Caenorhabditis elegans: one gene and its partners. The protein of the gene in region 2 purifies or fractionates together with the protein of the main gene of each other region. This does not show direct contact. Each region holds a gene or a part of one and is shown on either strand. Other genes may lie near its edges. The genes, in order: cox-4, mpc-1, men-1 and ndab-1.

Region 1 (6,910 bases), on a different chromosome or scaffold from region 2:
GTCACAACTGTATTCAAGTAAAAAAAACATGTATTTAAATACATTCTGCTACATTACTTGAATAACCCCATAAGCCCCTCCCACGATTTCATTTGCACTGCGGCCGCCACATTTCGGTGCAAATGAAATCGTGGGAGGGGCTTAAAAATAGCGGAGTGTCGTTGCGTCGTTGTTTATTTTTGTGCGATCGTATTTTTTCTATAATAATTTCTCGAGTTTTTGAAGAATATATTCGAAAAAAACTTTAAAAGTGAATGAAAAAAGAATTGTTTAACCAGATTTTCAATAAAATTATTCATTTTTGTATTCCAGTATACCAGAAATTACGATAAATATTATTTAAACGTGCGTAACTTTGCGAATAAGAAATAAAACAAGTAGCAGTCAAGATAATAATATCCGTGGAAGCCGCCAAACGGATATTCGCAATTTCGGATATTAGTGAAAAACTCGGATAACGGCTACTTCGGATAAAAATATCCGAAATATTCGATCGGCTGATTCGGATATTTCGGATAATATCCGCCCACTGCTGATCGCAGTTCAAATAAAGCTTAGTCAGTTGGAGTTCCACTGCGTCTTAGTTGGAGTTCCACTGTTCCACTGCGTCGTTGCTTATTTTTGTGCGATCGTGTTTTTCTGATAATATCTTGGAACTTTTAAGAGATCAATTTGGCTTCAGTTGTTTTTCATACTTCCAACGTCAATTCTCATTGATTTTGTATACATTCTCTTGAAAAATACGATTGTTTGTTAAGAGATCGCATAAAAATCTACCAGTCTTTTAGAGACCACGTCAGTCCTTCTGATGGAGTCGATTCTCGATCGTTACTTAGAGCAAAAAAAGCTCTACGAACAAAATGGGTTCAACTTCGAAAATGTCGAAGACCTGGTTATTCGGAATGCTGTATCTGGCAACATACAAGACTTACCCGGTCATCCAAACATCACAGTGAGTTGTCTAGGCACCGTTAAATCAAACATGGTATTTTTAGTCACTGGAAATTTCGAACGTCAAAATCGCAACATTCCGAGGAATGAATGTTTTTGAGCGTGTTCAAGTTCTCGATGCTTCCTCAAACAATCTTAGAGAAGCGGATTTTGAGCAACTTAGGACCAGCTGCCCATCGTTGACGACATTGACACTGAACTACAATCCACTCAATCGATCGAATCATTCCCCTCCGAGAGTTCCCCAATCTGGCTTCTTTGACAATCCATTGCACACTTATCGATGATAGGACTCCACAGGAAAATGCAGCCCGAGTATTTCAAGTACTGCTGCAGCCCAATCTCGAGGTTAACGAGTTCCGTAGAGCCGACGTTGAAGCCGAGATCTTGATTCTCAATCGAGATGAGCCTCGTGGGCCTGATGGGATGCGTATTGGACGCGGAGGACGCGGTGGACGCGGAGATCGGGGCGGATATTTTCAAGAGTAGAAGCTCGATTAATTTGCCCCTCTTAAAATTATCATTTTTTCATTCCTCGTTTTTTTAATTGTATAATCTTAAATTTTTCCGATCTTCAGATCTCCCACATCAATTGATTTCACAATTTTCTCGTTGTATAGTAAAAGATTTCAATATCTACTTCAACTGCTTCAAAATTCGAATAGAGGAACACTTCTTCGATTTTTTATCCGTTGGATTGTAGTATTACTCGATATCCGCACGTTTCATCAAAATTTCGAGTCTGACGAAGATCTGAATTAGTACACTGCAACTTTTTCCTCACGAGGGACGAGGAAAAGTTTTTTCCCGTTTTTTCTTATTAAAACTGATAAATAAATACTTTTTGCAGATGCTAAAACAATTTCCAAGTAAAAAAATTATGTTTTCAGTCGGCAAGCAGCGTGAAAGTGGTCAATGCAATATGATGGATTACGGGAATACAAAACCCAAACTTTTTCCCAAACATGATACATATGATGCTTAGATGCTGACATTACCTGATTTTCATAACGAGACCGCTGAAAAAGTTTTGAGGTTTCCAAAATTCAACTTTTTGTGCGAAAATCTCGACTTTTTCAGCGGTCTCGTTATGAAAATCAGGTAGTCTCAGCATTTAAGCAGCATATGTATCATGTTTCAGAAAAAGTTTAGGTTTTGTATTCCCGTAATCCATCATATTACAATGCCCACTTTCACCGCTGCTTGCCCACTGAATACATGATTTTTTTACTTGGAAATTGTTTTAGCATCTGCAAAAAATATTTATTTATCAGTTTTATTAAGAAAAAACGGGAAAAAGCTGTGAAAAACGAAAGAAAACACGCGGAAAAAAAGCAAGATAAATGGCCGCTGAAACTTGTCGGCCCCTCGGCCATGGCCTAGAAACCACTTTTCCTCGTCCCTCGTGAGGAAAAAGTTGCAGTGTTGGGGTAAAAAACTACGCTGAGCTCGATTTTCAGCTTTTTTGGGGTCTAAAAGCTGCTCTAAAAGCCTAAAAGCCTTAGTTTTAGCTAAAAATCCCAAATATTGTACCTTCAGAGCCCACAACATAATCCATATTCTCAGGATTCCGTCCACATTGCCCAAAATTATTATCACCAATCGCAAAAACGCCCAAATTGGTTCGAATCAGCGAGTGCGCTCTACCGGACGAAATCTCGAGAATTTCGTCGCCGGGAATATTGATTTTCTTTGCGGATATATAATAATCCTGATATTTGTTGATATTCGTCAATTGGCCACCGATCTGGAAGCTAAATTCGTGATTTTTGAGGGTTTTTTGGTATTTTTTACAATTATTAGGGAAAAAAAATCAATAAAAACAGCTGTTTTTTTTTTGATTTTTCGCTGAAAAATCGATTTTTTAGAGCACTTTTTCGTAAAAAAATGGCTTTTTTTTGGCGAAAAACATGAAATTTCTCAAATTTTTCAGAAAAATTGTTTAAAATAGGTAGATTTTTAAATTTTGAGAATTTTCTGTGAGAAATTAGAAAAAAAGGGTTTTGGGAAGAAATTATCGAATTTTCGTTGTTTTTTCTCGGAAAAGTCGGGATTTTTGAGGATTTTCAGTGAAAAACTGCTAAAAATCTGCTTTTTGAAGCTTTTTGGCAACGTTTTATCGATTTTTCGGAAAAATAATGAGAAACCCCCTAATTTTTGTATTTTTATTCAATTTTTCAATGAAAAATCGTATTTTTTCCAATTTTTTTGGGAAAACTCATTTAAAAACGCAATAAAACTGATTTTTTCGATTTTTTTCCAGTTTCTTGAGTTTTTTAATCGATTTTTCAGATTCTTCCGCTCATCTTGACAAATTTAAAGCCCTTTTTCAGAAAAATCCAGCGTTTTTCAGAGTTTTTGGGCCAAAATCGCCAATTTATCGATTTTTCCAGAGAATTTCCTGCGAAAATCCCACCGATTATTAATTCCAGCACCGTAGAGGCGATTTTTCGACGCAAAAAGCGAAAATCCAAAGCCTGAGCTTATAAATTTTTTTATAAAAAGTTTTTCTCAATTTTTCACCCAAAAGATTCAAAAAGCAAGAGCGCTCTATTGGACTCAATTGGCTGCGTACTTGAACGCGTGTAAAACGTTGATTACTCAGTCAACACGATTTACGGAGTGAACAGCCCGCAACGGCGAGCCGTTGTTACATTGCCAATTTATTGATTTTTCTGGAGATTTTGCCAAGTTTTATGCAAAAATTAAAAGGAACCACATATTTCCATCGTTTGTTCGTATTCCGGCTAGTTTAATCCTTAAAACACGAAGAGAGAACGGTTTTTGATTATTAATATATTGCACCCGTGTGTTCTGTTGTTTGTTCGTTTCTGACTAAAACTATCCTCTTCCACGTTTCCATCGGTGTTTTCCGTCGGCCACTTTAGAAATTACTTTAGAAATTCATTTTTATTATGAAAATAGTTCATTTGAGTATGTTTTTTTCATTTCTCCACACTGACGCCGGATTTACCTTTTGTTTTTTGGTTTTTCCTGCATTTTCAACCCATAAACCAGTTATTTATTTCAGGTATGTTGGCTCGTCAAATGATGCTGCCACGTTTGGCTCTCCGCGCAGTGCACACCACCGCCCGTCTGTCCGGAGGACAGGAATTCTACTGGGGACCCGATAAGGCCGCTGGACGCGAGCTCGTCGGATACGGAGCAAATGGAGATAACGTACGCCTTGTTTATTTTATAAATTTTAAATTTAATTAATTTATTTTTCAGATCTACCAAGATCGTCTCGACTACTGGTATCCAGCTATTCGATTCCGCAAGGAGGACAGTGTGATTGCCCCAATTCGCGCCAAGGAGCAAGCCGACTGGAAGAACTTGTCTGCTGAGGAGAAGAAGCTCTGTTAGTATTCAATTTTCCTCGACAAACTTGAAAATGTTGCTAAGTTTTCAGTGTACCGCTACAGCTTCCGTCAAACGCTGTCCGAATTCGAGGCTCCAACCGGATACTGGAAGGTGATCTCCGCCGTTATCCTCTCCGTGCTCGGACTTTGCACCTATTATGCTGTTCTTCTCAACGTCTGCGTGTACCCAGAACTGCCGCCAACCTTCCAGAACGAGTACAAGGAGGCTCAGGTTGAGCGTGCGCTTGTGCTCGAGAAGGGACAATTCCTCGGTGCACCGACACACTACGATTACGAGAACAAGAAGTGGAAGTAAAATATAGAGATTCAGCAGAAATAAAATAAAATTTTTTTGTAGCTTCTTTCTCGTTTTTATAATTCTCTCTTGGTTGTCGTCGCTCCCCCCGCCCCATCACTCTCTCGTCAAACATTCAAGCTTACCTTCTTCTTCATCGCCCCAACCCTCATCTGAAACCTAGATAAGCTGTAAATCTCTCCTAGCGGTCGAACGCACTGACCAATTCTTTCGTCTCCCCCAATTTTTTCTTCAAATTTTCCAAGTGGTTCGGCTTCTTGAGAGATGGGCTGCCCTGTAAACCAGAAATAAATAGATTGAATGTTGCTGTTAAATCCAGGAGGCAATAATTTATTTATTTCTTTACAAAAGTGAAATTTTAGTTTGACACTCGGAGATAGCGGGTAGTAGCGAGGAAAATGGTTCGGGTTGGGGAGAATCTGATTTAAATTGTGACATTTTCAGGATTTTCGTCATTAAGTGATCCGATTTTTGCGATGCGTCCGATTCGTTTCCATCGGTTTCTGGAAGTTGAGCAGTTGAAATTGTGGAAGCACTTTTCGATAGACTGGATGGCTTCCCAACTCGCTTGATCTTCCCGAACAGTGCACCCATCGCAGCCATCGATTTTCTATGAACCGACATTTGAGGGATCTGAAACTTCTAATTCTAGATTTTGAAAATCTCAAGCCACCCAAACCGTAATCTTTGCCACCGGAACAACTGAACCTTCAGCGCCAGTCAGCATATTCCTGCCAACCTGAATCTGCTCAGCGACCGACGAAATATACTCATTGGCTTCTTCCAAGGATTTCAGACGGATTGCAGTATTATTAAATAACCGAACAGTAGATGGCCTCCAAATGAATACACCTTCGAGAGTTTCCAGTCGAGCACATTGTCGATTATTTCCAGATGTTCCTGTTTGAATAGTATTGATATCTTCCAGCGCAACGATTTGCACATCAGTCATCTTTTCTCCATCGATTTCATAGGTTACAATATACAAATTGGAGCGGGTTAATATGACGACTGTGTCGATTTCATCGCTACTTTGGAATGCGTTAATCAATCCCCAGCCAGCGATGACAGTTTGCTGGGTTGGAACCAGGAATTGTATGGTTTCAGTCACCATTCGACTGATATTCTCTTCTTCTTCCTTCTCATTTTCCTCTTCTTCTGCATTTTCGTCGGCTTCCGTTTGTCCTGTCACTATATTGATGGCTTTTTGGCGTTGAGCATCTTTGGTGTGTGTTAGGTAGTATCTGAAAACGGAAAATTGTGTAGTTTGTAGTGTGAGAATGTTTTTGAATTAGAAAAAATGTATTGAAAATGAACATTTGAGGCGGAAATTGACATTCGGTTGAGGATGAGAGACTACAAACTACAAAATTTGGGTGAGGCTACAAGATTCTGTAGTTTGTAGTGTGAATTTTGTGCTTTTTTATTTTCTTGAATTGTAAAAAAGTGTATTGAAAATGAACATTTGAGGCGGAAATTGATATTTGGTTGAGGCAGAGACTTGGTTGAGGCTACGAGATTCTGTAGTTTGTAGTGTGAGCCTCAACCAATATTCCTAGTGATTTTCTGGTGTTTTTAACTCGGAAAACTATTTAATGCTTATTTTTTTAGGGCAGAAATACTTTTTTTAGTTTAAAGTTTCAGGTTTTTAGAACAAAAATCGATTTTTCCAGCCAAATTTGTTATTTTTTCTTTCAAAAATACTCGATTCAAGGAAAAAAATGTGATTTTTTACCGAAAAATTCGAAAAAAATAACTTATGATCAACTTTGGTGAGGCTCACAAAGAGTGTAGTTTGTAGTGTTAGCCTCACCCAAAACTAATTTTCTGGTTGAGGCTGTCAGAATTCTGTAGTTTGTAGTGTGAGCCTCAACCAAGTCGATTTTAATCGAATTTTCGCCATTTTTTCTAGCTTCCCGTACCTCGATGCACTATTATATCCATCTTTCATGACCCCCATCAGCTTCCGCTCTCCATTCCTCGTCACATCTCCCTTCAGCGCGGCGGTTCCGGCGTATTGCGTCGATATCACATCTCCATTATCAGCCCACATCGTTTGCATCGTCTGTACGAGCACTTCGGGCGGTTCGCACAGCGGTCCGAAGATTCCGAGGCGTTGAGCCTGCTGTAACACTACAAACAGGGAGATTTGGCCCTGAACAAGATTCGTTCGGTCCAGACAGTCGATACAGTTGGTTCGGACGACGCCTTTTTGGGATTGAACCACTTCTCCGGTTTTGTCGACCCAGCAGAAGCCAATGGTTTTCAGTGTTTCTTCCAT
Region 2 (7,143 bases):
TTCCCAAATTTAAGGTCTGCGAGAAACCACTGTGTTTCCTGATGCAAGTATCAGCAAATGGAGGTATAAATGATCCTCCACACGCTTTTCATCGTTCTCTATTTCTCTTCGTTTGCCGTAATCCATCCTGCTCTCGTACAAATGATGCCGCAAATCTGAAAGCCTTCCGATGCCAACTTCCACGTGCCAATGATTATTATTCATTTGATGGACCAATGGATCCTGATTTGGATGGAGATGTTGCTGATCCACGTGCACCGGCTGATGGACCCGGATTGTGTCGAATCTGTGGATGTTCCGCTGCGAAAAAATGTGCCAAGTGCCAAGTGGCGAGGTGAGAGAAGTTACCCATACGAAAAATGTTGCGTCCAGAATAAAAAATTCTCCGTTAAATGCAAAAAGGCGTGTGCCTACTCTAATTAGTACTCTAATTAGGCTTATAATTCCAAAATTTTCTTGCTGCGGAATTTTTATTGACTTTTAATATTTCTTCTCTCGAATATAATTATTTTGTTAAAGTTTAAAAAAATTAATACAAATATCTTCGGAAAACTTTGGAAAATCTATGAAAATTCAGCAAATTTATAATTACAGTACCCCTTAAAGGCGCTCACATTTTTGTGCATTTAACAAAAATTTGTCGTATCGAGACCAGTTACAGTATTTCTGGCCGGAAAGACGAAATTCTGGTAAATTTTGTTCACACCTTATATGTCACAATTTCAGATATTGCTCTCAAGCTCATCAAGTCATCGACTGGCCTGCTCACAAGCTCGAATGTGCTAAAGCGGCAACAGATGGCTCCATAACGGATGAACCGAAAAATCCAAGAAATGCGTTTTGTTTCAAAGAATTCGGTGTAGAAATTGATCAGGAATATATGCCAGCAAATCTGTTTGACGGACTTAGTGATGATGAAGGCGATGAGGAAGAGGAAGAAGGAAATGATGAGGATGAGACTGAAGAGGAGAAGAAAGCAAGAATCAGAGAATTTGAGAAATTTGTCAAGGAGAACAAAGGGGTTAGTTTGACGCCGGAAAAAACAATTAAATTTCTCAATTCCTTTTTCAGAAAAACGCTGACATGACAAAGGAAGATTTGGATGAAGCCACCGCCGAGCAACCAAAAGATATCGATTTTGATAAATTCAACCGTCTTGTCAATTTGCAACCCGATCAGATTATTAGATACAAGAGATACGGACAGCCACTCCGTGCAACTGGCCTTTCTGAATTGCCAGAAGTTGTGGAACCATGTGAACTTTGTGGAGCTCCTCGTCGTTTCGAAATGCAGCTTATGCCACATCTCTTGTCGCTCATCGATGTAGATGCTATTGGTCAATCTATCGACTGGGCTTCCGTGTACGTGTACACTTGCTCCGCGAGTTGCCAGATCGCTGATGATGGTTATGCGAAGGAATTTGTCGCCAAGCAAGATTTCCTTTAATTTTTTTCCTCGTTATTTCTCTTGTTCGCAATTTGTTGTTTTTCTTGTTTGTGTTGTTCTAATAAATTTTGCATTTTTTTAAATGTTTATTATTAAAAAGATTGGTGAGAAACGCCGGTTATGTATCTGAAAATTGTAATTTTTCAAAAATGGAATCAGCTTAAATGAATTATTTTTTGCAGTATTTCGATAACTAAACTCGATAAAATGAAAGAAAATAGAATTTGATTTGAAAATCACGAAATTTCGCCGCACGGTTAGATTTTTAACTATTTTTCATCAATTTTTCAATTTTCCTCGATTTTATCGAGTTTACTTATGAAAATCTTCAAACAAGACTTGAAGAAATTCGTATTTTACAGCTTATTTCAATGGAAAAAGATGCTCAAGCAGGTGAACCAGAAGAAGAAGAAGTCGATGATGAGCTGTCAAGTACAGACTTGTACGAAGATTCTATGGCTGAAGTGACATTGAATGAGACACGCGGAGGACATGTTAGTTGGAATCGTCCACTGTACTCGCATAAAAAAATGTTTTAGGACTCTGATCCATTCGATCGAAGTGGTGAATATGATGAAGACGTCGATCTTGCCGCACCTCCTCCAATCACTCCGGATATTCCAGAAATCCCTGCAGATGTGCTGATTTCGCTGAAAAATCGTGCAGAAGGAACTGCCATCGATCTCAAAAATCTCAAAAATCCATTTGACGATTCTCAAAAAGTGGATGAATCCGAAGTTGAAGCTCCATTAAAATAATGATTCTCCCTGTGAATGTTGACATCTAGTCGAGTCGCTAGTTACGGTTTTCTTCGAACACCTATTTTTGCTTTACATTTTCAGTTCATATCATAAATTTATTTTTATTTAACTTATTCTTTCTAAAATTCCCTAGAAATTCGAAAAAAGGATACCATAAAAAGAGCGAAACCCGCTAAAAATTATATATTTAATCAAATTGCTCAATGTGCCTTGCTGATCACTTCCGCATCGTGTTCGTGCTCCAAAACCTCCTTTTTCATCATCAATTTATGGTGGACGGGATCTTCAACGTAGTGCAGATAGTTGTGGTTCACAAATCGACCGAGCTGAAAAAATTAAAAATTATCAACTGGAGCTGCTGTTATGGAGTATACCTGAGCTCCTTGAGCACTGAAGTTGGCAAAATGGCAAGCGAAGAGCAAAAGATTTCGTGGTTGAACGTGCCACGCGAATCTCATGAAAACACTCGAGTAGATCAGAAGAGCTGACGTCATTGGTCCACTGATCATGTCAGGATTTTTCTGCAAAAAAAATTATAGAAAATTTCACAAAAAATTTGGAACGCTTCACGAATTTGCGTGTCATCCTTGCGCAGGGGCCATGCTAATCTTCTCTGTATTGTTCCAATTTTAGTATATGTTCTCGGAAGAACAAGACATCTCGCAATAGGAGGTGTTTATATAGGGGGGACACAAGAGGCGGCAGACATCTCGTGAGTTTGACAGAGTAGTATAAAGAGTGTGTGTGAGAGGGTGTAGGCATTTCATAACATATTTTTTGTGGAATAATTTTGGAAAAAAGGTGTTTTTTTAATAATAGCTTTTATAAGAGTTTCTCAAAAATTGCATGCTTTTTTTGAAAAGGTTGACAAATTATAGTAGTACTAAAGTTGCTATTTTCAGGTCTCAGCAGAAAATTCACAACTAAAAATAAAATTTGCAAAACAGAGTGTGCGCCTTTAAGGTGTACAGTTTTTTATTCCTTTATTGCTAGTTTTTTTTGTTAAATTTTTGGGAAAATATATTTTATTTCATGTGAAAAAAATTGATTAACCTGCAAAATTTAGAAAAGCAAGAAAACATAATTACGACTACTGTTCTTTTTAAAGGCACACACATTTTCAGCACTTATTAAAAAAACCAAATCTGGCTATGGATTAAAAGCGCTTTTCAATTTTTAAACACCCAATACAAAAGTAACGTTTTTTCACCCTAACTTGTCTCTAAAAAATGCAGTTACCTTCAAATCTCCAAGAGCAGCCAACGGAAGTCCCCAGTTAGCCACTGGTCCCCAAAAATGAGTTGACAAGAAGTAATGCTTCCATTCGGCGGTGGAATGTTGCTTGAAATATGTCGTCACTTTTGATATAACTCGAGACATCTGGAAATATGAATTTTTAGGTTTTAAGCTTTTTAAAAATATGTTCGAAAATGTTCATTTCGCTGAAATCGCGTGAGAAATCAAGAAAAAACGTCCGATATATATTTGGGTTTGATAAGGAACAAAAAGTGATAAGCAATCAAATCAGTATTTTTGTTCAATGATGATAAAATAAGGAAAACCCTCTGTAGAGAATTAGAGAAAAATGGATGAGAGAACGAAAATAAATAATTGTTTTTGTCAGTGGCTAAAAGATGATATTGATCTTTTTGGTTCCATTAGAAGGTTTAATTTTGATTTTTCAGAAATTGTCTTTAGGTTTTAAATTCAAAAAAAAATTGAAGCATGGCCGTTAAATTATGAGACTTTTGCTCCAAAAATACTATACCGGGTCTCGACACGACTAATTTCTGTTGAATGAATCGGCTTTTCATAGCTTTTCGATAAAAATATGTTTTCAAATTAAAAATTGAGGTAAAACAATAAAAACAGAAAAATTCGAAGAAATAATGAGATCTCATTATTTGTTGGATTTGAGAAAACAATGAAACATTTTTTAAAACTCAAAAAACAAAAGTTTGAGAATACAGTACTCTTTAAAGGCGCACACCTAATCCCACTCAACAAAATCTTCGTGGCAAGACAACGTGTCGATTTACGAAGCTCGTGTACTCCTCGAGGAAAACTGTGTGCATTAATTTATCGCGGATAGCTTTGTTTTTAGCCAATAAACTTGATTTTTAACCATTTTCGCTAATTGTTTTATGTATAAAACATTAATTTACCAATTTATCCCACATTTATAGTATTTCATGTAAAAAACCAATGCGTTTACTGCTGAAAACTACAAAAAAACTAGAAATTGTAGTTTTTCAGCATTAAAATTTGTTGGGTTTTTTTTCTAATTAATTTTTCTAATTTTTCAAATTAAAAAAGGTTTTTCAAATGCAATTCAAAAAATGTTTCTAAAGGTGCCGGTTAATATTTGCAGACTGAAAAAATGGAAAACAAATTGTACTAATTTTTAACAGAGAAAGCATCTGAAAAACTAAAATCTTTGAAAAATTGAAATTGAAAACTCATTTCTGCTCGAAAAATGTGACCTCAGTGCACGAGTTCGCAGGAACCAAACCTCACAATCCTTGAGAGAATAGAAAGCGAGAGAAATAGAGAACGAGAGATGCAGACAATTTAACTGGGGACAAATAGCCACACGGGAGGAGAAGGATAGTTCAGACATCACTTTGAGAAATTTTATGTTTCATTTTTACAAGTCGAAACCATAGTAATATATGATAATAAATAAATAAATAAAAAAAATTAACAAAATGTTTAATTCAGATTATTTCTTCTCCTCCCATCCATCGGAATTATCACCGGAATCGTCGGCACTAGACGAAGAATGTTTCCTCTTTGTCTTCTTTTCTTTCTTGCTCTTTTTTGATTTTTTCGATTTCTTCTTCTTTTCCTTCTCCTTCTTATCCTTTTTCTTTTTCTTCATATTCTTTTCTAAAAGTTTCAGTACTTCCGTTTTTGAAAGAACTGGTTTTGAAGATGGAGGAAGAGCTGGACCAAATGAAGATGCAGAAGTTTCATCAATAATCTGAATATCATCATCTTCCTGTTGCTTTGAAACTCTCAGCAAATCCCTATTTTCTAATTCTTTTAATTCTTTTTCCACTCGTTTTCTGTTCTCCTCCTCTTTCTTCTCAACTATTTCCCTTCTTCTTTTCAAATCCTCTTCTCTTTTTTTCAGAATCTCTTGCCGTTCCTTCTCTTCAGCTTCTTCATCTTCACTATTACTCTCATCTGAGTCTGCACCGTCTCCATCTCCAAAAATGAAATCAAAAAACGATTTTGGAGCTTTGTCTACCTTCTGATTGTTAGGCTCGGCTTCATTTTCCTCTTCTTCATCAGAATCCTTATCATCATATTCTTTCTCATCGTCATCATCTGATTGATTTCTTTTTTTCTCTTCTGCTCCTCTCTGAGCTCTCGATTTCAGAAGTCGCTCCCTCATTTCAATTTCATTTGCAGTGTTCGGAAGTCCCAACGTTGCCGAGACTCCACCAATATCTGCTAATCGATCTTTCCGCTTCCAATCAGTCTTCTGAAGAGCTGGAACTCCGACAGTGTCTGATCCAGGATATGGATGGGGAACATTGAATCGTTTAGCGAGAAGATTGTCAGGATACCTGAAAATTTAAAAATTTCTACATTTTTCAAAGGGACTAAATGGCTAAAACTAGCCCTAAACAAAAAAATTTCATAATAAGAATTCTCAGAAAATTTCTAAAAAAAGAGCCAAATATTGTAAAATCCGAATATTCGTCATCTTGATCTTGTTGCAGCACATACATTTTTTTGCCTTTTTTCGAAATTGTTTTTTGAGAAATCTCATTATGAAATTCGGTCGTTTTAGATGATTCTCAATTTAGAAACATACCAATCAAAGCTTTGCCTCGTTTTTTCTCCAAACATTTCCATTTTCACAGCGGCTAATTTATCCTCATCCTTCGTTCCAACTTTCAAATCACCGCCAGCTTCTTTCACAAATTTCGAAGCCATCATTTCATGAATCGGCGCTGCTATGGCAGTTTTTGCAAGTGGCTGAGCCCTGGATTGTACTTCTGGAAGCATTCCCCGTTCGTCAGATGTCAATTTTGACTCGAATTCTTTCTTTTCCCACTCCCACTCCCAGACAGTCAGATCAGTGGGCTGAGGGTACGGTAGACCACGTCGAATATAATGAAGAAACTCTTTAAATCGAGCTTGTCGCATAGGCTCATCAGGGAATTCAATTCGATTCCGTTGTCGTCGATCCCGATCTTCTTCTGCTTCACCACCACCACGCTCATTATCACGTTTTTCGACTTCATTTGCCTTGATATCCCATCGACTTCTTCGTTCTGTCGGTTTTTTGGAACTTTTGCCTCCAATTTCAAGTGCATTCACGCGATCTTCACCAAGGAATCTGAAATAAATAAAGTTCAACAAAAATATTCTAAAATTGACCGAAATTTAATGATGAGAATGGCCAAAAAAATGTTCCAAATAATTTTCAGGTCAAAATTCTCGGAAAAAGCTGAATCGATTTACGTTTTAAAAACCCGTAAACTCAAACTTTAGCAAATTTCGGAAAACAAAAAAAAGCGAAAAAATATGAATTATTGTTAATTTAAATCATACTTTGCTCTTTGCTCCGCATTCATATGTTTTACATCATTCTTCATCATTTGTGGAAGTTTCGAGATATCCATTGGAATCGGACGATGATCGCCTCGAAAATTCGGCGGAACTCTTGGAGGAGCATAGAATTTTCTTGGATTAAGCCTCTTTGGCTGTAATTCAAATGCAGTAACCAATTTCTGTGTTTTCAAATTACTCTCTTCTGATGCTCCAGCTACATCCAATGAAAAATCAAATTGCGAGAGATCATAATTCGAATAAACACTTTCATCTTCTTCTTCAAATGCTCCAACTCCGAATGCTTGTCCTTTTATTCCTTTGCTATTTTTCTTTCCGGATTTCAAAGCCAAAGTTGTTCTACCGTATG
Region 3 (11,050 bases), on a different chromosome or scaffold from region 2:
CGTGGCGTTGTGATGATCTGTCATAAGCACGAGCACTCGTATCTCGTGAATAAGACGACGCAGCAGCAGGCCTATACTAACGTGAAAGTCGGCGATTTTGTATTTGTGGAGGACGTGGTGGAGCCGCCGCAGAAATTGTTCACGAGAGGAGCCATCGTACGAGCTGATAAGAAGGAGACCGTTGTCGTTGACTTCCTTGATAATAGCTGTAGTCGTGATAATCACGTGGAGGATATCATCTCGTGTGAATGCCTGTTCTGTGAGAACGGAGATCATCAGTATGGGGCGAGAGTGAGTATATCTTGCAACAAAAAATTTGAAAAATTTGAACTTCCCACCATACATTTTACCATTAAAACGGTATTTTAACTGCAAAATTCGAGTTTTCCGTGAAATTTCACACCTGGCTGTACTTTTTTCGAGTCTGTAGGTCAATTTTGAAAATTTTCGGGTTACTGTAGCCCCGAAAGTACGCAGCGCAATGGTGTTTGCGTACCTGGCACCAAATCTGACGAAATTGCGTCTAAATTGGCTCATAATTAATTCACAGGGCAATAAAGGTACGCTGATTCTGAATTTTATATTAAAAATGCTGGGGAATATTGATTTTCCACCAGGAAATTGAAATTTTCAAAAAAAATCGTCAATTTCCTCAAATTTTCGATGATTTTTGCTGCAAAATTCGAGTTCCTCTTGAAATTTCACCCCTGGCTGTACTTTTTTGCAGTCTCTAGCTCAATTTTCACAATTCCGGGTTACTGTAGCCCCGAAAGTACGCAGCGCCTTGGTGTTTGCGTACCTGGCACCAGATTCTACGGAATTTCGTCTAAATGAGCTGAAAAATGAAGTACGGGGCTAAAAAATCATGCTGATTCTGATTTTCATATTAAAAATGTTGGAAAATTAATCGAAATGTGGAAAATTCCGATTTTTTAACGCCGAAAATACAATTTTTAGTGTTTAAAATCGAATTTTTCTCATTTTCAATACGAAATTCAGAATCAGCGTGATTTTATTGCCCTGTGAACCAATTTTCAGCTGATTTAAACAAAATGTCGTCAAATCTGGTGCCTGGTACGCAAACACCGCGGCGTTGCGTACTTTTGGCGCTACAGTAACCGAGAAAATTTCAAAATTGGGCTAAAGCCTCCAAAAAAGTACAGCCAGGGGTGAAATTTCACGGAGAACTCGAATTTTGGAGTTAAAGAGCTCGTGTAGTCCTCGAGGACAAGGTTTTCGATAAAATCCTCAATTTCGGGCAATTCTTTTCGGTATTTTAACACACAAATCGTCTTATTTATAGTTTTTCAGGCCAAAACCGAAAAAAAAACTATAAATTGTGCAGATTTTTACAAAAAAATTGTAAAAATGTATTAAAAATGGCTCATATTCAGGTTTTCCCGATAAAATCTGTTTAAAATTGCTAATAATCCGATTTTTTTTTTCGAAAATATTGTTTTTAAATAGCTAAAATTCAGCTGAATATTTCAGATTTTTCGGGAAAAATTCATTATAAACAGCCGAAATTCAGATTTTCCCCTTTAAAATCACGATTTTTCTAGGGAAAACTCAAGTCTTCTAGTCATTTTTAATGGGTTTTCCTGTTTTTTTAAATAAATTATAAATAAAGAAAAAGCCCGGAAATACTATAAAAAAGTCCTAAAAACCCCCAAAAAAATCAATAAATTCCCCAATTTGTTTTGCAGGTAAAAGTAGTGTGGGACGACAAGCAAGTCTACGACGCGTACTTCCGTGGAAAAGGACAGATGATCGAGTACACGGTCCGACTGGAAGATGGCCGAGAAGTCCGCCATCCACGGAACAGGCTGAAAACGAAGCGAGAACTGAACGCGTATCTCAAAAAATAGCTTTAATAAATAAATAAATATTCGATTTTTTAAAATTTACTATTAAATAGTCCCTGACAAAAAATTCTTGTCAAAATGTAATATATTCTCTCTTTCCCGCCCGTCTACCCTCAAATATGTGATCTCTGCGCCTCTTTTCCCCCCAGTTTTTTTTTGTACGAAAAGTCGAAGAATCTCTAATTATCCCTGTTTTTCTGTTTTTTTTCTGTATTTTTTTGTCATTTAAATATTTTTCGCTATTTTTCCCTATTATTTTGCAGAAACTTTTAAATGTTTTCCCCGAAATTGATCAATTTATCTAATAAACCTTTTTTTTTCCAAATGCCAACACACTAATCGCATTCTTATCAAATAATTCCGTCGAAAAATCAGAAAAATTGGCCAAAGATCACTTTATCCGATTTGTTGACTTCCTGTGAACACGTGTTGAGCTGACAGCTGCGTTGGGAGTGGGAAAATATTGAAAATAACCGGAAAACTCGTTCAAAATCCAGAAATTCTCTTTAAAAAACTGTTTTTTAATGAAAAAACCTTTCAAAATCCAGAAATTCTCTTTTCAAAGCTGTTTTTTAATGAAAAAACCTTTCAAAATCCAGAAATTCTCTTTAAAAAGCTATTTTTAATGAAAAAACAGTTCAAAATCCAGAAATTCTCTTTAAAAAGCTATTTTTTAATGAAAAAACCTTTCAAAATTCGAATTGGCGCCGGTGAATTGACACGGCAACTGCGTACTTTGCGGCCAATGCGCCACATTTGACGACAATTTTTCTTTATTTTTTTCATTGATTTTCGTTATTTTCTTGAGTTTTTGTCGGTTTTCGAGAGGAAAAATAAACTAATTTCTTTATTTTTTGTGGAAAATTCAAAAAATCGCATTAAAATATCTGTTTCTTCCAATTAAAACCCCAAAGATCACGGCTAATTCGATGACAAGGCCACCTTGATCGAAAAATATCGCTATAAACAAGAAAAAAACACGGGAAAACATCATTTTTCTCGCTTTTTCTCCCTCTTCCCTCCTCTCACCGCATACTTGCTCCCCCAAGCACTCATTTCGCCGCCACTCGAAGGAAAAACGATTTTCCATCTTACTTTTTGAAATAAAAATTCATTTTTTCAAGAAAAGAGTTCCGCCCGTGTTTTTGTTTTCTTTTTCTCCCTGCGTCTCTCCGCTGAGTGCAGATCTCTCGCACATAGTTTATCCCGAAAGAATACGTGGATCGATAGACGACGGGCGCCCCCATTTGTGGCTTCTCAGGCAATTGTCTCTCCAGTTTCACCGCGAGTTTTCCCGAATTTTCAGGTTTTCCATAATTTTTTCTGAATAAAAATTGATAAAATGCACTCATTTTTCTTATCAATTGTCACCGTTTTTATTTCACGTGTTTCAAAAAAAAAAGTTTTTATCGAAATTTTACATTTTTCCGTCTCATTTCAGAATCAATTCTCATTTGCTCTTGGGTTTCACAACCGTGCGGGAATCACGAAAAATGCTGAGCCGTCTTTCGCCTGCCAGGTAGGGAGGATTTTGCGTTGAAATTAGCTGAAATTCGAGAAATGTATTAAAAATGACTAAAAATTCAGATTTTCCCGGAAAAATCCATTTAAAACGGCTGAAATTCTGCTTTTCTCGGAAAAAATTTATGAAAAATGGGTGAAATTCAGATGGTCTCGGCAAAAATGCGTAAAATATCGATTTTTCTGCGAGAAATTGCAGAAATTGAAATTTTTACAGGTTTTCGTTGAAAAAGTCTACGAATTTTGACGAGTATTTAAAAAATTTGTAGATTTTTTCGATAAAAACCTATGAAAATTTCAATTTCTGCGATTTTTCTGCGATTTTGCCCAATTTTTCTTGGAAAATCTGAGTTTTAATCATTTTAAATTTATTTTTTCTAAAAAAATCTGAACTTCAGCCATTTTAAATGGTTTTCTCCGGGAAAATCTGCATTTCAGCCATTTTACTAGATTTTTTTCCGAAAAAGTCTGTATTTCTGGCATTTTGAATGAATTTTTGACATTTTTTATGGTTTTATTCCAGAAAAATCTGATTTTTAGCCGCAGTTGGTGGATTTTTCCGAAAAAATCTGAATTTCAGCCAATTTTTAATGGATTTTTTCCGGGAAAATCTAAAATTTCAACATTTTTAAAATGAATTTTCCGCCATTTTTTATGCATTTTTTCCTGGAAAATCTGATTTTAAGCCATTTGTAATCAATTTTTTTTCGGAAAAATCTGAGTTTTAGTCATTATAAATAGTTTTTTTTCTGGAAAAACAGATTTTTCGCTATTTTTAATGTATTTTTCCGGGAAAAAGTCTCAATTTGAGCCGTTTGAATGAGTTTTTCCAGGAGAAATCTGAATTTTCGCTATTTTCAATGGATTTTTTTTTGGAAAAAACTGAATTACAGCCGTTTTTAAGGGATTTTTTCCGAGAAAATCCGATTTTTAGCCATTTTTCATGAATTTTTTTCGGAGAAAATCTGAATTTCAGCCGTTTTTAATTGATTTTTCTGGGAAAGCTTGATTTTTAGCCATTTTTTATATTTAAAAAATTTGAGTTTCAGCCATTTCAAATACATTTTTTCCGTGAAAATCTACTGTTTTAGTCATTAAAAAAAATTTTTTCCAAAAAATCCGATTTTCAGCCTTTTAAATGGATTTTTCCGGGAAAATCTGAATATTTAGTCATTTTTTATGGATTTTTTTCCGGAAAATTTGAAATTTAGCCGTTTTAATGGCATTTTCCCAGAAAAATCTGAGTTTCAGCCATTTCGAATACATTTTTCCGTGAAAATCTACTTTTTAGCCATTTTAAATAGTTTTTTTTCTGGAAAATCTGAATTTTAACGATTTTAAATAAATTTTTTCCATGAAAATCTGAATTTTTAGCCATTATTTATGGATTTTTTTTTCCGAAAAATTTGAATTTCGGTCATTTTAAATGGGTTTCTCCGGGAAAATCTGAATTTTTGCCATTTTTTTCAATGAAAAACCAAAAATCCCCAAATTTCCAGCATCCGCCGTCTCTCCACATCAACACGATGCCTGAGCGACAAAAACGAGCCGGATCTCTCCGATCCCAAAACTCTGGCCCTTCACAAGCTCTACCGCCCGGAACGCACCACACCCCAGAAGCGAGGAATCGACCTGCTCAAGTCGCCCGGGCTCAATAAGGGAATGGCTTTTTCCCTCCACGAACGTCAATATCTCGGAGTTCACGGGCTTCTGCCACCCGCATTTATGACCGAAGAGCAACAAGCCTACCGTATCATCACAAAACTCCGCCAGCAACCTGACAACCTTGCCAAGTACATTCAATTGGACTCGTTGCAGGATCGTAACGAGAAGCTCTACTACCGAGTGCTCTGCGATAATGTGAAGGAGCTCATGCCAATTGTGTACACTCCTACCGTAGGACAAGCCTGTCAGCATTTCGGATTCATCTACCGTAACCCAAAGGGTCTCTACATTACTATTAATGATAATAGTATTAGTAAAATCCATCAGATTCTTGCAAATTGGCCGACAGAGAACGTCCGAGCAATTGTGATCACTGACGGAGAGCGGATCCTCGGCCTCGGCGACCTGGGAACCTATGGAATCGGAATTCCCGTTGGAAAACTTGCACTCTACGTTGCGCTCGCAGGGATTCGCCCGGAATGGTGTCTCCCGGTGATTCTCGACGTGGGAACTGATAACAGCGAGCTGCTCAACGATCCATTCTACACGGGGCTCCGTAGAAAGCGTGTTAGAGGTCCCGAATACGATACGCTCGTCGATAATTTTATGAAGGCGGCCACGAAGCGGTTCGGACGGGATACGCTGATTCAATTTGAAGATTTTGGAAATCAGAATGCGTATCGGTTGTTGGATCGGTATAAGGGAGAATATTGCATGTTTAATGATGATATTCAAGGTAGAATTTGGCAGGGGGGAAATTGAGGAAAAAAAGCGAAAAAATCGGAGAAAAAGGCTTTAAAATGCACATTTGAGAAAAAAAATTGCATTTTGGCCGAAATTTTTCAAAAAAAATCTGAATTTTCACTGTTTTCAAATATGAAATTCAGAATCAGCATACTTTTATTGCCCTGTGCGCCAATTTTCAGCTCATTTAGACGAAGAAATCTCGTAGAATCTGGTGTCTGGTACGCAAACACCGAAGCGCTGCGTACTTTCGGGGCTACAGTAACCCGGATATTTTCAAAATTGAGCTAGTAACTCGAAAAAAAAAGTACAGCCCGGGGTGAAGTTTCACGGGAAACTCGAATTTTGGAGTTTCAAAAAAATAGTGAAGCAAATTTGAGGGGATATATTCCTTTATAACTTTATATTTTAACTGCAAAATTCCGCCGTAAAAGTTTTCCGTAAAATTTCTTTACCCCTAGCCATGTAATTATTTTGGAGTCTCTAGCTCAATTTTGAAAATTTCCGGGTTACTGTAGCCTCAGAAGTACGCAGAGCTTCGGTGTTTGCGTACTTGGCACCGGATTCTACGATATTTCGTTTAAATGAGCTGAAAATTGTTAATTAAAGTATGCTGATTCTGAATTTCGGGTTGAAAATGTCGGAAAATTTCGGGAAATTTCGGATTTTTCTGGAAATTTCAATTTTTTAAAGAGAAATTTTGCTTCTTTTTTTTTTTGGGAAATTTTAATTTTTTGAAAATTTCGATTTTTTTGACCTTGAACTTGGAAATAAAAGTGAAAAATTGATTCTAAAAATAATAGTTTCCCAGGAAATTTGGATTTTTTCAATATAAAATAGGAAACAAAAAAAAAAGGTCTTTAAAAAATAGTTTTAAAAATTAAAAATTAAAAGTTCTTTTGTTTTCAGATTTCAGATTTGAAATTTTTGATTAAAAAAAAAAATTAAAAAATAGTTAGAAATAAATTTTGTAAAAAAAATTTTTTTGCAAATTTCCAGGTACCGCCGCTGTCGTCGTCGCCGGCCTGCTCGCCTCAACTCGTATCACCAAGAAGAAGCTCTCCCAGGAACGGATCGTCTTCCTCGGAGCCGGTGGAGCCGCCACCGGAGTCGCCGAAATGTGTGTCCGACAGATGATGGACGAGGGATTGTCGGAGGAAGAAGCTTGCGGTCGGATTTATATGGTTGATATTGAAGGACTCATCACGACGTCTCGTAGTAAATCTCTTGGCGAGAGACATGTGAAATTCGCTAAAGATCTTCCGGATACCAAGAATCTGCTGGAAGTTGTGAAGACTGTCAAGCCTGGAGCACTCATCGGAGCATCTACGGTGGCTGGAGCATTTACGGAGGATATTATTAAGGAAATGGCTCGGCTGAACCCGAGGCCAATCATTTTTGCACTGTCCAACCCTACAAGTAAAGCAGAATGCACTGCGGAGACGGCTTATCGCTGCACAAATGTACGGGATATGTAAATTTAGAGAAAAAACTGGAAAAATATGGAGAAAATCTGAATTTTTCAGATTTTTTGAGCTGAATTTACTGCATTTTTCATGGAAAAGTGAATTTTTAAATTCAAAAATTCGCCGTTTTTCAGATTTTTCCAATGAAAAGTTAGTTAAAAATTATTATTTTCCAGCTTTTTCATGGAAAAAAAATCAAAAATTTTTAAATCCAAATGTATAATTTTCCGGACTTTTTGTGTTAAAAATTAACCGTTTTTTTTTCAGATTTTCCATGAAAAAATGTTTTTTTTTTCAAATAAAAAACTTAAAAAATCTCAATTTTTACAATTTAGAGCCATTTTTCAATGAAAAACCTGAAAAATAGTAATTTTAAAGTCGCTTTTCAAAGAGAAATCTGGAAATCTGAAAATTTAAATTTTAAAATCTAAAATATATATCAATTTTTAGAATTTAGAGCGGTTTTAAATGAAAAATCTGGGAAAAAAGTAATTTTTAAATAGTAATAAAAATAATAACGAAAATTGGAAAAAAAAACTGGAAAAATATGGAGAAAATCTGCACTTTTTTAGTTGAGAAATGTAGAATTTGCCAATTTTCGCTTGATTTTTCATGGAAAAATTATTTTGAAATTCAAAAATTGACCGTTTTTTTTCAGATTTACCTTTTAAAAAGTGACTTTATAAATCAAAAATTAACCTTTTTTAATTGAAAATTAATATTTTCCACGGCAAAGAGAATATTTTAAATTTATTTTTCTTTAAAAAATCTGGAAAATGCCAATTTTAATTAAAAAAAAATCATTTTAAAATAATGTTTTAGTTTTTAATTTATTGAAGTCAATTTTATAATTTAAAGTTGCGTCGTTTTTTCAGATTTTTTACGGAAAAATGATTTTAAATTGAATTAAATTTTGTTTTTTAACAGAAAAATCTTTAAAAAGGTACAATTTCTTCCAATTGTAAGTTAATTTTTTCGAAGAAAATTGTGGAAAATGTCAATTTTAAAATTTATTCTTTTTAGATTTTTAGTTGAAAAAATGATTTTAGAATTTAATAAAAATTTATATTTTTCAGCTCTTTCGTGGAAAAATGATTTTAAATGGAATTAAAATTAATTTTCTATGGAAAAATTTGGAAAAATGTCAATTTTTAATCTTAAAAATCATTTTTCAATGAAAAATCTGAAAAATCAGTTATTTTTCCCTCCAAAAATACCCAATTTTTGCAGGGAGCCGTCCTCTTCGCCTCCGGATCCCCGTTCGAAAATGTCGAAATGAATGGAAAACTCTATAAGCCAGGACAGGGAAACAACGCCTACATCTTCCCGGGTGTTGCTCTCGGAGCCGTCCTCTTCCGTACCAAAAACATTCCGGACAAGCTGTTCCTTCTGGCCGCCCGTATGGTCGCCGAAGCCGTATCGGAGAAGTCGTTGAACACGTATTCACGTGTATATCCACGTCTGAAGGATATTCGAGAACTTTCGGTGAAAATTGCCGTAGAAGTTGGCGAGTATTGTTATCGACACGATTTGGCCACTTTGCACCCGAAACCCGATGATATGGTGCGGTTGTTTTTGAGTGGAAATTTGAAAAAAAAAAACGTCGGAAAATTTCGATTTTCCTGCAATTTTTAGACATTTTTTGCTGAAAAAAACATGAAAAACTGTTGAAAAATACCAAAAAAAAAAACTTTTCCCCGAAAAAAAGTGATTTTCCTCACTTTTTAATGCAAAAAATGGCCATGTGTCGATTTACGCGAATCGTGTACTCCTCGGAGAGAAAAGCAATTTTTTGAGTGGAAATTTGGAAAAAATCGGGAAAATTTCGATTTTCCTAGCATTTCAAGCTGAAAAAACATGAAAAATGGATGAAAAACATTTTTAAAAATGACAAAAAAAGACTTTTCCCCACCCGAAAAAATTGATTTTCCTCACTTTTTAATGCAAAAAATGGCCGTGTACCGATTTACGCGAGTCGTGTACTCCTCGAGGAAAAGAATAATTTTTCATGGAAAAAAGCATTTTTAGCTGAAAAACATGAAAAAATTTTGAAAAATACCTTCAAAAATGATTTTTAGACAATTTTATGCCTAAAATTGAAAAATTCTACTTATTTCTGACGATTTTTCCGAAAAAAACTGCTGAAAATATAATTTTTCACATTTTTTTTCGAATGCAAAAATATGACCGTGTGTCGATTTACGCGGTTCGTGTACTCCCCGAGGAGAATTTCCGAATTTACTATTCGAATTGCTCATTTTCATAGGTTTTTTTCCGGTGAAAGTACGATTTTTCTGGTTTCTAGTGCATTTTCAGCAGTAAATTCATTTATTTTCACTAAAAACTTTAAAAAATCAATAAATTAGGTGATTTAAATCGTTAAAAATCAAAAAATCAGCAAAAATGGACTACTTTTAGCCTAAAACGTGAATTTCCTTGCAAAAACAACGCAAACTTCTCCTCGGGGAGTACACACGAGCCGCAGATTAATCGACACTGCAAAATTCGAGTTCCTCGTAAAATTTCGCCCCTAGTCGTCTTTTTTTTGGAGTCTCTAGCTCAATTTTGAAAATTTCCGGGTTACTGTAGCCTCAGAAGTACGCAGAGCTTCGGTGTTTGCGTACTTGGCACCGGATTCTACGATATTTCGTTTAAATGAGCTGAAAATTGTTAATTAAAGTATGCTGATTCTGAATTTCGGGTTGAAAATGTCGGGAAATTTCGGGAAATTTCGGATTTTTCTGGAAATTTCAATTTTTTAAAGAGAAATTTTGCTTCTTTTTTTTTTTGGGAAATTTTAATTTTTTGAAAATTTCGATTTTTTTGACCTTGAACTTGGAAATAAAAGTGAAAAATTGATTCTAAAAATAATAGTTTCCCCTAAAAATTGTCAAAAATCTTAAAATTTTTCAAATATTTTGGAATTTTTTGAGAAATTTCAATTTTTAACCCGAAATTTCCGAAAAAAATCTCAAAAAAAAGGAAAATGAGAAGTTAAAAAACGCAATTTTCCCCTAAAAAATTGTCAAAAATTTTGGGATTTTTTGAGAATTTTTAATTAATTTTTAACTAGCAATTTCTCAAAAAATTTGTTAAAAAATTTCGTAAAATTGGTTAAAAGTTTGTGCTTTTTTTTCAGTTTTAAATTTATAAAAAATTTGAATTTTTCCAGGAAATGTTCATTCGCCAGAACCTGTACAGTGTTGAGTATGATGAGCTGATCAATAAGACTTACGAATGGCCAGCCAAGGATTCGAAACACGGTTTCCCGGTTCCAGTGTTGAGAAGAACCTCGATGGACGAGGAATAATCTTTTATTTTATCGTTTTTTTTCCCAATTTTTTTCGCATTTTTCTCTAGTCTCTCTCTCCATCTCTCTTTCCCGCGTAAATACACCCTATTTTACCTTTTTACCCCTAAAAATTCATTTTTTTTTCACAAAGTTCTTAATGTCTACGTGTATAGCATAATCCTATGGATTTTTAGATTATACAAAAATTTAATTATATAAATTTACATGTAAATTTAGCTTGTTAGGGCATTTTTCCAGTTTTTTTTTGTTCCTGTTGGATTTCCAGATTTTTGCCGCTTTTTTTGGTCACTCCGTTTTCCAGCAATTTTTCAGATTTTTTGCCACCAGAATGAGCCAAGACGATGGAGCAGCGGAGGCGGAGGCGACGGTCCGAGTTCCGATGAACATTGCACTTGTCAAGTATTGGGGAAAACGAGATGATCTACTCATTCTGCCGCTCAATGATTCGATTTCACTGACCGTGGATCGGCTGACGG
Region 4 (2,619 bases), 7.5 Mb from region 2:
GACCAGCGAATCCGCTGAAAAGGCTTGAGCCTCCAGTGGAGCTTGAGCCAAATGATAATGGTTGAGTGGCGGTGGTGGTGGTGGAGGCAGAGCTTGATCCAAATAATGAAGCTGCCGTGGAAAGAGCCGAGAAAGGTTTTGGAGCCGATGTGGTAGAGTCTGCGGAGCTTCCTCCGAACACCAGAGGCTTAGAAGGACTGGCTCCGAATAGAGAGCTAGCTGGTTTCGGCAAATCTGCTTCTTTTGGTGAGCCAAATGTCAATTTTGGTGTGGAATCCGCAGCTTTTGGCTCTTCGGAAGGCTCGGCGGGCTTCTTTCCGAACGAGAATCCACTGAATTTTGGAGTTTCCTTCGGCTTGTCGCCACTGAAATTTTGATATATTGGTGGGTTTTTTTTAATAGAAAATAGTCTGAAATTGCTATTTTTGCAAAAAAGCCGACATTTTCGATTTCTAGTTGGAAAAAACAATTTTTCAGCGTAAAATGTAGCATTCTCACCACGAAAATGCTATTTTTTATGTGGCAAAATGTTAGAAAATTCAATTTTAATGAATTTTTTCCAATTTCGATTATATATATACTAACTCTTTTCCCAAAAATGCGAAAAGTGAGCCTGAATTACTCGGAGCCGCCGGCGCATCAGACTTTTTCGTCCAGAAATCCTTGGTGGGCTCCGGAAATTTGATCGTCGTAGCCGGAATCTTCACACTCGACGTGGCGGCTTGTCCGTCTTCGCCCGATTTGAAAACCACTGATTCAGCTCCACCGAGAGGTCCTCCGCCACGAATCGCGCGTTTTCGGGCGGTCGCTGGAGCTGCTGGAGCAACGAGTGGCTCTGCGGTTTTTGCGAGTGGAGCTGGCGTTTCCTTGGTTATCACTGAAATGTCGCCAAACTTGGGCACAGACGCGACTGTCGCCGCCGGGCTCGAGGCAGCGAAAACTGTAGAATTCAGCGGATTTTTTGGCGTTCCATTCTTCCGCACAGCTTTGGCTATTTTCCGCGGAGCAACTGTTTCTCCAGAACTTTCAGACGAGTTTTCGGTTCGTCTGGGCACTGTCATATCGGCTGCAACGTCATCATCGACCTTATAAATCTGCTTGAGCTGTGCCACATGATCCATATATGATTTCATAGTTCCAGACTGAAAGATTAGATCTTTAATTAGACATAAAAAAAAGGTTTTAAACCTTAAACTTACAAAATCATAATGATTCTTTTCCGTGAAATATCCGTTGATGACTTTGAGAAATTCTGCATTCAGGAGGCTCATTTTGTCGCGGAGCCGGAACATGTTCATTTGTTGCTCAGAAGTTGGCGGTGGAATTAGGGAATTCATCACGAATCTGAACGAAAATCTGTTTTTTAATTTGAATTCGCAAGACTGTGCAATGTGACGTGACGGTGTTTGCGTACTCGGCATCAAACCCGACGACGCTTGCGGGCGTTTCTTTTTATTTTTCACTTATTTTTCAGGCTCGATGAGTCATTTCCCGATTTCCCGTCAAATTTTTTTCGAATTTCGGTTCGAAAAATTATTATTAATTATTTATTTGTTCAGAAATGTTGCGAGTCGCCGTTTCCGCTGCTCTCCGCACTGTTTCAGTGCGTGCACTGAGCAATGCGTCCGTCCAACAACGAGTCATCACCCCAATACTCCTCTCCGCACAGAAACCAAGCTTCCAAATCAGACAATACTCTGCAAAGGTGGGAATTAACAAAAAAAAAATATTTTTTCGCAAAAAGAAAACAACATTTTCCAGGCTCCACTGACCAAAAAGACACTCGAGGAGCGAATTGTGTTGGTTCTCTCACTCTACGACAAAATCGACGCGAAGAAGCTCACAATGGACTCGGATTTCTCGAAAGATCTCGGCCTCGACTCTCTGGATCACGTAGAAGTTGTGATGGCGATGGAGGAAGAGTTTGGATTCGAGATTCCCGACGGAGATGCGGATCGCTTCAAGACGCCACGCGACATCTTCCAGTACATCGCCGACAAGGAAGACGTTTTCGAATAATTTTTGTATTTCTTTATCTTTTTAGCTGCAGTAGAAATATTTTCTATTATCATTTTTTTTTGTTTTTCGGATTTTTTTTCAAAAATAAAAGTTTGAAATTCATTTAATAATTTTCGCGTTGATAAAAAGTTAATTTCTTTCTGATATACTTTTCTCAAAGGCGCACAGATTTAGGGGTCTCGACGCGAAAGTTTATGGTAGCCGCTTTTTTAGTGCATTTTTCCAGAATTTTGGCGTTTTTCTTTCTTTTTTTTTGTTGAAATTTGTTTTTCAAGTCGAAAAACAGGAGAAACACAAATTTTTAATGAGAAAACTAAAAAAAAAAACGTTTTTGCAGCGAATTTCGTTATTTTTTCTTGTTAAAAATTGATTTAAACCAGTTTTTTTCGTTTTTCAGTTCAAAAAACAGAAAAATCACAAATTTTTGAGCAAAAAAAACTGATTTAGAACAATTTTTTCATTACAATTTTAAAAAAAGTGTTTTTGTTTACATTTTAGCAAATTTTATAGGTGTTTTTCTGTCGAATTATGTTTTTTTTTCAGGTCGACAATCTATACAAACCGATTTGAATCAGTTTTTAACAAAAAAAATCAAGAAAA

The links.
Region 1: the proteins of mpc-1 (region 2) and cox-4 fractionate together in Caenorhabditis elegans (co-fractionation; one large-scale study listed by BioGRID). This does not show direct contact.
Region 3: the proteins of mpc-1 (region 2) and men-1 fractionate together in Caenorhabditis elegans (co-fractionation; one large-scale study listed by BioGRID). This does not show direct contact.
Region 4: the proteins of mpc-1 (region 2) and ndab-1 fractionate together in Caenorhabditis elegans (co-fractionation; one large-scale study listed by BioGRID). This does not show direct contact.

What each region holds. Positions count from the first base shown.
Region 1 is NC_003279.8:13,656,201-13,663,110, reverse strand, and holds cox-4 (Cytochrome c oxidase subunit 4), read left to right. Parts: upstream 1-3,982; 5' UTR 3,983-3,999; coding exon 4,000-4,131; intron 4,132-4,182; coding exon 4,183-4,312; intron 4,313-4,363; coding exon 4,364-4,629; 3' UTR 4,630-4,940; downstream 4,941-6,910. Other genes in the region: W09C5.12 (Leucine Rich repeat-containing domain protein), read left to right, coding at 809-952, 996-1,238; sac-2 (SAC domain-containing protein), read right to left, coding at 4,972-5,262, 5,309-5,873, 6,552-6,910.
Region 2 is NC_003281.10:4,409,901-4,417,043, reverse strand, and holds mpc-1 (putative mitochondrial pyruvate carrier 1), read right to left. Parts: upstream 3,588-7,143; coding exon 3,447-3,587; intron 2,860-3,446; exon of another isoform or gene 2,758-2,859; intron 2,729-2,757; coding exon 2,582-2,728; intron 2,534-2,581; coding exon 2,408-2,533; 3' UTR 2,296-2,407; downstream 1-2,295. Other genes in the region: pdcd-2 (MYND-type domain-containing protein), read left to right, coding at 15-334, 727-1,021, 1,072-1,446; R07E5.11 (Intraflagellar transport protein 46 homolog), read left to right, coding at 1,818-1,940, 1,986-2,204; gpch-1 (G patch domain-containing protein 1 homolog), read right to left, coding at 4,930-5,782, 6,034-6,561, 6,777-7,143.
Region 3 is NC_003280.10:14,226,112-14,237,161, reverse strand, and holds men-1 (Malic enzyme), read left to right. Parts: upstream 1-3,306; 5' UTR 3,307-3,358; coding exon 3,359-3,384; intron 3,385-4,885; coding exon 4,886-5,787; intron 5,788-6,794; coding exon 6,795-7,258; intron 7,259-8,491; coding exon 8,492-8,824; intron 8,825-10,433; coding exon 10,434-10,571; 3' UTR 10,572-10,785; downstream 10,786-11,050. Other genes in the region: jmjd-2 (Lysine-specific demethylase 4), read left to right, coding at 1-291, 1,707-1,868; Y48B6A.13 (Diphosphomevalonate decarboxylase), read left to right, coding at 10,903-11,050.
Region 4 is NC_003281.10:11,914,653-11,917,271, reverse strand, and holds ndab-1 (Acyl carrier protein), read left to right. Parts: upstream 1-1,559; 5' UTR 1,560-1,561; coding exon 1,562-1,705; intron 1,706-1,761; coding exon 1,762-2,019; 3' UTR 2,020-2,119; downstream 2,120-2,619. Other genes in the region: Nuclear pore complex protein npp-16, read right to left, coding at 1-365, 586-1,142, 1,200-1,337.